Linked DNA regions of Caenorhabditis elegans. The protein of the gene in region 2 interacts with the protein of the main gene of each other region in a pairwise test. Each region holds a gene or a part of one and is shown on either strand. Other genes may lie near its edges. The genes, in order: let-756 and rpl-6.

Region 1 (5,629 bases), 800 kb from region 2:
GGAGCACAAGTTGATATGCCTCATTGAACCAATCAATAAGTACACTATTCCTGGATATCACTTAAATAATTATGAAGATGCAATGGATGTGATCCAAATGGATCAATCGAATAATTTGAAAATTCAATATGTAAGTCAATAGAACATAAAACATCGAATTTTATGCACAATTTTTTTTGAAAATAAGAATTCGAAAAGTAACTGTAATTTTTCAGGACACATTCCACGCTCAACAAATCAACGGACAAATTGGAGCAATTATGAGAAAGCTCAAAGATTATATTGGTTAGTTGAAAAGGATGATGATGAAAATAAGCTTACGCCCTATTTTTCTGAAATTACTTTTTCATTCGTCGATTTTTTTCGAGTTTTTCAGGCTATATTCAAGTGGCTCAAGTTCCAAATAGAGGTGCATGTGATACACGCGGAGAAATCGATTATCATTTTATTTTCGATGAAATCCGTTCGATCAATCCATCATGGGTTATTGGTGCTGAATATTTGGATGCAAAGCCTTCATTCAATTGGATTGAGAACATGTCTCTAAGTTTTTGAATTACCTGTCTTTGTAAATTCGCTCCATTGATAATTTTTTTAAAATAACAATACATATTTTTCAAATATATATTATTCATAATAGTAAGTTACAGTATGTTCAAAATACAAAACCCGTGAGTATGGAATGAGACACGTGGCGAGTTGGGGGTGTTTTAGAGAGACTTGGAAAACATACTTAAAAGGGGCGAGCTTGGGAAGAAAAACAGTAGTGTACGCAAATTGTCGTATTTAGAGCATGGTGTGATTTTAAGAGTCTAATACAGAAATATTATGAAGGTAGAAATAGAAAATTAGAAAATTCGTTGTGTGTTTCAATATTCACAAGAAAGGGTTTCATTTCTAAAGCACCGTGCCTTACGAACTTCACGACAATGTACTGCGCTTCTTCTCAAAATCAGCCCTGATAAAAAATTAATTAAGCAAAAGAAGGCAGGAAGAAATGGAAAGAAAATGAGAAGATCATGATGATAGATGCTGTGCGGGGTATCATAAGAAGAGAGATCGTTCACGGGTATCGTTGATAGTTAACATTCTGACGGTTTGGATTTGACACTGTCTGAGCTAGATAGTGTTGTTGTGATTGATGACGTTGTTGAGGGTCTGATGAAGAGCTGACACGTGGATGGTGATGATGATGGTGATGGGAATTGTGATGAGGAGCCTGTGTCACTGGAGACTGCCAATATGGATTGTATGCAGGTCGTGGAGATTGTACTGTTGATCTTGTTGGAAGAGGTCGATACGTTGGATAAGGATTCGCTGGATTTTGAGGACGATTGTACCGAGTTTGAGTAGATGCTTGTTGCTGCTGTTGTTGTTGATAACGACGTCGGAGTTCTTCTTCACGAAGACTTTTGAGCTCTTGGCGACGGGCTCTGAAATACGTTTGATAATTGGTATAGATCTAGGAAAGTCACACGTGGAATCATCATAAATGTTTCAAATAGTTTTGTGCTACCTGGCATTGAATTTATTTTTGCCGCTCAAAAACTGAAACGGAACGATACCCAAAAAAAGCCATTTCAGTCTGGCTTCAAATCTTAAAAACCAAAAAAATGTTCTGCTATTTTTCAATACTTTCATAATAATTCTCAGTTCTCTGCGCTTTCTTTTTCTCAGAATAATAACTAACTCTCTAATTTGTTCCTCTTTTCTTAATCGATCTTCTCTCCTTCGTTTCTTCTTTTCTCTTCGTCTTTTCTTTTCTTCTAATAATCTTTGCTTCTCAGCTTGGTTCGTCATTTCCACTTTTGCTCGTAAACTACAAAAATTTCATTAGCTCTAATCTGATACTTTTGATATAAATGCTTACTTTGAAATACGATGTGGATTTGGTGGTTTTGTAACGGTCTGCTGTCGGAATAATGGATGACTGGGAGGTTGGTGAAAGAGTGAAGCAACTACCAGATCGGTTACGTCCTGAAAATCAAAAAGTTGAAACTGTATGTCTCGAAAAAACTCACATTTCCATTTGGAACGGGACTTCGTAACCGGTCAAGATCGTGATGAACAACTAGAAAATGGCTCGCCTGAAATATACGGATAATGTATTTCAATCAAAAAAAAGTGCACACGGATTTCTTTATGTATCTAGCTACAGTAGCCGCGAGTACGGTAGGAACTTATTGAAACGAGAGAAAAGTTAATGTACATATCAGGAAATATTCGCTCGTTCCAGACCTCGAGCTTCTAATTTTTGGTAAAAACCACATTTTCTTGCGAACATATGCTCGAAAATATACTTTAATCGGGTTTTAAAAATTATTTTTCTAAAATGTAATAATATCTCCGATACGAGCTGTCAAAGCAGAATGAGTATATATTTCACTTACTTTCCGACGTTTTTTTGAATTAGGACCTCTCCTTGGTTTTCCACTCCGTCGTAATTCAATATACCAGGGATTAAACCTGTCACCATAAGCACAAGACGCATATAAATTGTAATAATTTTCCATCATTTCTTCGAGAAAAACGCATTCTGTTGAATAATTAGATGATGGTGTTGCATATAATTTCCCCGATGGATCCATACAAATGAAATTCTTTGTTTCAACTCCTCGAATCGATACAAGACTCATTGCCACTGACACAAACTCCACTATACTGAATTTGGAACTCTCCTCTTTTGTTCCATGAACTTTGACACGTGTCGATCCATCGTCAGGATTTTCGATAGGAAGCATCTCCAACCAGGTTCCCGAACGACAAAACAGGGCTCCGCGGCGACGGCTGGAAGTAGAAATTAGTCAAAAACGCAATGCCTTTGAAATCATTGGCAAGTTTTAATTTTTGATCATGATCACTTCGATTAAAAAAATGTTTTTTGTTGTTTTTGATAAATTGTCGTTGCCCTGTGAAAGAAAACAAATTTCAAGAATTGAGTAAAAAATCCGAGATCCCTTGTTACAAAAAGTTTGAAAAGCTTAAAAACTCACTCATCAGCAGGTGGATACCCATTTTCTTCTTCATCTTGTAGTTGTTTCTGGAAACCATTTTCAAGTTTACAACTGTATCTCTAATTTCAAACTCACTCTGATCCGGTCCACTCGATACGGAGCACATGAATTTATACGATCGGTTACAAAATTTGAATTATAGAATCCCTGAAAATTTATTTCTAAGTTTCAGTTCATATCTTAACTTTGAAAAAGTAATCAATTTGTGGGAGAAAAAAACATTATCCTAGATTTTCTAGTGTGCTATAATTTTTTCCAAAAAACATAGAGGTGTCAGATTCTTAAGTTACTGTATGAATATTTCAATTTTTGGTTTTTTCACATTTTGAGTACATATAGCTTGAACTTCCAAACGTTCTTAATTCAAAAAAAAATTAAAAAATTAAACATTTATGGTTAAAAGAAGTAAACTTACCGCAAGAAAAGGTGTAACTGGTGTTGTCAAAAAGTTAGAAGTGGCTGCTCCTCCGTATGAAACTATCGATGAGGCGGCAGGAACGGCCATATATTCATCTGAACATTTGAAGAAATTGTAATGATTTGGAAATATTGAAGAACGAGGAAGTAAGAGTCAATAAATGAGAAAAAGGGCAAGTACAGAGATTCGGGAGCAAACAATCTTCACCTCCGCCTCCACTCCTTTTCTGGCACGAGTTTGCACTCAGGCTCAGTTGGGAGAAGGCTCAGGCTTTCTTGCAAAATGGAAAATTGTGATGAAAAAAAAACAAATAGAACGGTAAGATTGGAATGAAGGAATGCAACAATGAAAGAGAGTCTATTGAGAAAACAGATAAATAGAAACAGATCACAATGACCAAGTTCAATAAGATGCAAAATAGAGTTTAGAGTTTGTTCGGGGGCATTAGAAGTATCTTTGAATAAAAACTTTAAAAAGAAAGAAGATTATTAATATTCTATCTTTATATTTGGAAAAAAGTAGTATACTACTAATTTAAAATCCGATAATCATACAACAAGTTCAAAAATTTATAACATTACAAATTTTTTATAAGAAAGTGATTAAGAATTTTGAGAAATATGAAAGTATTTTTTGTAATCTAGTTTTTGTGAAAAGCCACATATTTTGCTTGCAAATTTCCAAAATGTTTATTTTTCCCAAAAAAGTTGTTGCTCAACTTTAAATGTCTTATGGTTCACTCAACAGATTTTAGAGTAGGTAAGAGGCAGGTGTAGGCTCTGCATTTAGGAGTTTTTGTGTATCTGTGGAAAATTTCAACAACGGTTTTTTTTTCCGAGAAAACATATGTAGTTTTGGCAAAGTGATTTGAACCGATTGAATCATCACAAATTTTCACAAGTGACGACAAAGTTTTGAGATCATATTTACACAGTTGTTCATAACATTTGTTCAAAATAAAAACACAAAAAAAAACTTCAAAAAAGGAGGAAAAATAGATCAAAATAAATGAAAAGAGCATCAAAATGTGTAGGATCTCTAGGCTATAACAGAAAAATACCATTTTGGAAAAATGCCAATTTGTAGAGATTCCCAGAATAGTGTCATATTTGTAAATAAAAAACATCCCCCGCAAACAATACTCTTCCGAAAATGAATGAAATTTGAGCTAATAAAGTATGATGCATTTGGAAAAATAGTAGAAAGCGATACTATTCTGAGGAACTAAGAATGACGTTCGATAAAAAATGAGCAGAAATAACACATAATAATATGGTTCAAATTTATAGCAAACATGAAATTACGAATTCCATGGTAAGTTAAGAATTATTCACATTTTCACGTATGTGGAGATGGATATGTGAAAAGTAGATGATTAGTTTGACAAAAGTAAGTTTGGAAAAAAATAAGTGTTTTTTTGGAATACTGGAATGAAGTAAATTTATATTGTCTTACTGTTAGAAAAATGAAAACATGTTAAAAAATGCTTAATTGAAAAAAAGCATAAACCGAATACGGTATTTCATGAATAGGTATACGGAACAGTCGTGGCAAGACCCATTTATGAGAATCTAGAAATATATTTAAATGTCTGAGTGTGAAAACTTGAAAACTAAAATCCTATAGTACCCGAAAAATCATATGACAGAAGAAAGATCAAGAAAAATATGAGTAATAGTTGATGTAGGAAAAAGAAAGAAATCGAGGATGAAACGTGTGAGATAATAATTGATAATCAATGAGGATACAAAGACTCTTTCTCTCTCACTCTCGTAGTCCGAATCCCGCGCGTCTTAGTCCGTCTGAGAAGATGATAATGGTGAATGAAGAGACGACAGATTATCAACGAGACAGTTGGCTTCTTCTTCTTATTCAAAAGAGCTCCCGTCCTCTATGTTTTATCATCATCATCATTATCACAAAACGACTGATCTTCAAGTGAAACACGAAGAAACTGCTCTCAGGGATTGGGTTACCGAATGAGAGGGTGTTTCACTCAACAACACAATTGCTCTCTCTTGCAAAATTTTTTTGAGGGGATCAAGTTGGTAGATGATGATTGAGAATTGACACGGATTCATCGGACACATTCTGACATTCCCGATAACGAGCTAACTGAATGTGATGGTGTGAGGGAGGATGAAATGAACACGAAGAGAGGACAAACATTGGGGTCATTTTGAATTACGTGTGAAAG
Region 2 (3,956 bases):
TGATCAGTTATCTTTTAACGACATCCGACTAATGAATAAAATCTACTGCTCCGCAGTCTGCCCATCAAAACTTCCATGTCAACGTGGAGGATACACGGATCCACGTCGTTGTGATCGTTGTCGATGTCCTGATGGATTCACCGGGCAATACTGCGAACAAGTGATGCCTGGATACGGAGCCACTTGTGGTGGAAAAATCAGTTTAACTAGATCTACAACTAGAATATCATCACCTGGATATCCAAGAGAATTCAAAGAAGGACAAGAATGCTCATGGCTTCTCGTTGCTCCACCAGGTCATATTGTAGAATTTCAGTTTATTGGAGAATTTGAGATGTACTGCAAAATTAGACATTCTTTGTGCATGGACTACGTAGAAGTTAGAAACTCTACTGATTTTGCAAATACTGGAATGAGGTATATTTTGTAATTGCATAGTAATTACCTAACATTATGATAATTTCCAGATATTGTTGCTATGGAACTCCTCCAACTAGAATCCGTTCTGCAACTACTGATATGGTTGTACTTTTCCGAAGCTTCTACCGTGGTGGTAAAGGCTTTGAAGCAAGAGCCCGTGCAGTACCAGAGGCGGGTAACTGGAATTCCTGGAGCCCCTGGACGGCATGTTCCGCAACTTGTGGAGCATGCGGAAGTCGCATGAGAACCCGAACATGTCCACCTGGAAATGCATGCTCGTACGTTTCCCAAACTAATCAATTGGACCTTTATATAACCATAGCTAATGAAAATATAAAATAACTGTAAATTTTTCAGTGGGGAGCCAGTAGAAACACAAATTTGCAATACTCAAGCTTGTACGGGTATGTGCGCTCAGAAACGGGAGGAAGAGGGTCAATGTGGAGGTTTCCTTTCTTTGTTACGAGGCGTCCGTTGTAGACAGTAAGTTCTTCAATCAACCAAAACTTTGAATTTTAAATTTCATTTTTTCAGAGAGAAGACGGTGATGGCTCCATGCGAGAACGCGTGCTGTCCAGGTTTCACTCTTCAGCGTGGCAGATGTGTCCGGTGATCACCAATTTGTATCCATTATTTCAATTCCATATTTTATCCTGTAACCTACAGAACTCTTACGAAGCTACGGGCCAATTCCTAATCAAACCAAATTGTTATAATCCTTATTTTCACTGTTTCATTTTTCTTCTTCTAAATTAAATACCACCTCTTTTTATGTTGTTTCGAGTTTGTGTGTATGATTGAACGAGTTTGACCATGTTTTTGATATAATAAATATTTTTGATGCTTTGTTTGGACAGACAGCGGTGGTATTGGCGAATAGATCATGAGACTTAGATGAAACTCGTTTTAGAAACCTTTTCAAGAACTTCGAAAATATTTCCGCTGGGTGATCTGATCGAATTTAAGATGGGGAAAGATTTTTTACTGAATAAATTATCTGGTGAGGAATTACAATTCCGATCTGTTTTCATTTGATCATTTTTCAGGTACCTGATCAGGTGCAAAAAACATTTTACATTAATAATTTTCGTTTTGAAAAACTAATTTTTAAAATTTATGACAGATAATTAACAATTTTTTGATTTAATTATAATTATTATTATTGCCTAAATAACTTTCTGAAATATATAAAAATAAACATTTTTCATGAAAAAGTTGCATTTTGTGTTGAAGAACAGGGAGAAATAACACACGTAAAACGAGTGTCACCGTAGTCAGACGCGGGTCTCGCCGCGACGAGGCATTGAATACTCAGGCAACAAGCCCTATTCGCTGATTTTTTCGTGCTTTTTAATTCTTTTTTCGATTTTTACATGTTTTTAAGAAAAAATAACGTTATTTCCAGTTTAAAAATGTAAAAACATGATTCCCATTAAAATTCTGGTTCATTATTCAATTTAATTCTCTGTTCTTTTTGCCAGAAATCGTTTTTTACATGTTTTTTAAATTTTAGGATTCATATTGCTTGATCTCTTTTTTAATCAAAAAATAATTTTTAATCATCCAATTCATAATATGTCTGTCGTTTTTGTTAAATAGTTGGTCAGAGTTGAAATTAATTATTTTGCAGGGTACAAAATGGTTGGAAAGAGAAACCTTCCGGTCATCAGCAGAAACTTCGACCTCTCCCCAGGAGTGCTCCGCTTCTCTGCTTCCCGACTTCGCCTGAAGAAAGGAGAGAAGAAGCCGAAGTTCACCAAGGACACTGTACGTTTTTTTCTCAATAAAATCTCTTAAACGAGGTCCAGAGTCACCTTTTCAGCAAAATGCAGTTAGGGTGCTAGGATTTCTCGAAAATGAAATTGGTCGTATTATGCAAGTAGGGCTTGCTTTTGCGCTCCCCGACTTCACCTCATTCCCAAACATTTCCTACAAATTAAAAAACTTTCAAGATAAATTGTTTTCAAAATTTATACTAATCAAATTAGTTTTAGAGCGCCAAGCTTCCAAAACTTCAAAGAAACGGAACGAAATTCGCTCTCGGACATTCCAAGACTGTCACTCTCCGCAAGACTCTCACTCCAGGAACTGTCCTCATCGTTCTCGCTGGACGTCATAAGGGAAAGCGTGTTGTCTTCTTGAAGCAGCTCCCACAATCCGGACTTCTCCTTGTCACTGGTTAGTTGAACGCGTATTTCAAAGATACAGCATCGAAAATGGACGGACTTTCCCGATGGATCGTTTCGTATAATTTTGGTGCAAAATAGTAGAGAGACGCAGTGTTACTCTTCCTTACGTTACCTGTATCTGGAGAGTGTCAAGCGTTTCCCACATTTATTTTTAAAAGCTGTAAATTCAAATAAATTAAATGTTTAGGACCACACAAGATCAACGGATTCCCACTTCGCAGAATCGGACAAGCTTTCGTGATCGCTACCTCACTTAAGGTCAACGTCTCCGGAGTCAAGATCCCAGAGCACATCAACGACGAGTACTTCAAGAGAAAGTCCACCGCACAAAAGACCGGAAAGAACATCTTTGCTTCCGGAAAGACCGAGTACACCGTAGGTTATTTATCATCGCTTTTTGCATTGAAAAGGGACGGGCTATCTTTATGGATTGTTTCGTATAATTTTGATGCGAGATAATAGAGAGGCGCACTGTTACTCTTCATCACTTTTTCTGTGAACGGAGAGTGTCAAGCGCTTCCCACAATTTCTGGAATAACCCATATGTAGATAAATTTTTAAAGTGATCTTTTCGATTTTCATATTTATTTTTTGCAGGTCTCCGAGCAGAGAAAGAAGGACATCAAGACCGTTGATGCCCCAATCCTCGCTGCCATCAAGAAGCACCCAGAGCACAAGTTCCTCTTCGGATACCTTGGAACGAGATTCTCACTCGGAAAGAACCAGTATCCACACAAGATGCAGTTCTAAATGTATTTTGTTATTGAATAAATTGTTGACATTTGTTCGTTATTCGTCATCAATTTGTTCCTCTGCCGACATCGTCAGTCAGATTCTGAATAAACTTGGAGCGTGTTAGCAGGTTTACTTGGTTGTTCAGGTGAAAGATTGTCAGGCTACTTGCATCGTTGAGATTATCAACTACGGTAATCATACAAATTTTGTATTCGCGGTTTTTCAGAAAATTCAATTTGAAGAAAGAAATCGGCTAACTCGTTCCAGTGTTTATCGATTTAAATATTTTCAATGAAGGGTACTCTCTTTCACATTAGAGCAAACCTTTCCAGAGAATAACCTCCAAGTATTACCTATTAAAATCTCGATGTTTGGAGGCATTCGAGATCGTCTATTTCGCTTCCAGAAGCACAATCGAAGTGCCCGCAACGAGTTTTTAGGAACACATCCTACATTACCAGGTTAATAATGAACGAATGTACATAGTTTCTTTTCAGATATGTTATTTTTCAAGCTTAATTTCTGAAGTTTTGCTACATTTTCATATTCTGACTGAGATTTAGAAAATTACAAAAAAGAGGAGCAAAGTTTTCTAGTGTTTGCATTTCCCAC

The links.
Region 1: the proteins of rpl-6 (region 2) and let-756 interact in binary tests that used the Caenorhabditis elegans proteins (3 or more experiments, as listed by UniProt).

The regions. Positions count from the first base shown.
Region 1 is NC_003281.10:6,405,027-6,410,655, reverse strand, and holds let-756 (Protein let-756), read right to left. Parts: upstream 3,528-5,629; 5' UTR 3,520-3,527; coding exon 3,430-3,519; intron 3,162-3,429; coding exon 3,090-3,161; intron 3,041-3,089; coding exon 2,994-3,040; intron 2,788-2,993; coding exon 2,391-2,787; intron 2,088-2,390; coding exon 2,022-2,087; intron 1,978-2,021; coding exon 1,871-1,977; intron 1,820-1,870; coding exon 1,691-1,819; intron 1,434-1,690; coding exon 1,064-1,433; 3' UTR 623-1,063; downstream 1-622. Other genes in the region: C05D11.5 (Putative hydroxypyruvate isomerase), read left to right, coding at 1-130, 216-285, 377-555. UniProt on the Caenorhabditis elegans protein: Required for larval development. Probably by binding receptor egl-15, negatively regulates membrane protrusion from body wall muscles during larval development.
Region 2 is NC_003281.10:7,206,397-7,210,352, forward strand, and holds rpl-6 (Large ribosomal subunit protein eL6), read left to right. Parts: upstream 1-2,050; 5' UTR 2,051-2,058; coding exon 2,059-2,187; intron 2,188-2,216; exon of another isoform or gene 2,217-2,400; intron 2,401-2,414; coding exon 2,415-2,598; intron 2,599-2,622; exon of another isoform or gene 2,623-2,753; intron 2,754-2,796; coding exon 2,797-2,984; intron 2,985-3,003; exon of another isoform or gene 3,004-3,134; intron 3,135-3,206; coding exon 3,207-3,359; 3' UTR 3,360-3,393; downstream 3,394-3,956. Other genes in the region: Zinc metalloproteinase dpy-31, read left to right, coding at 1-417, 468-698, 778-903, 955-1,033; prps-1 (ribose-phosphate diphosphokinase), read left to right, coding at 3,712-3,805. UniProt on the Caenorhabditis elegans protein: Component of the large ribosomal subunit.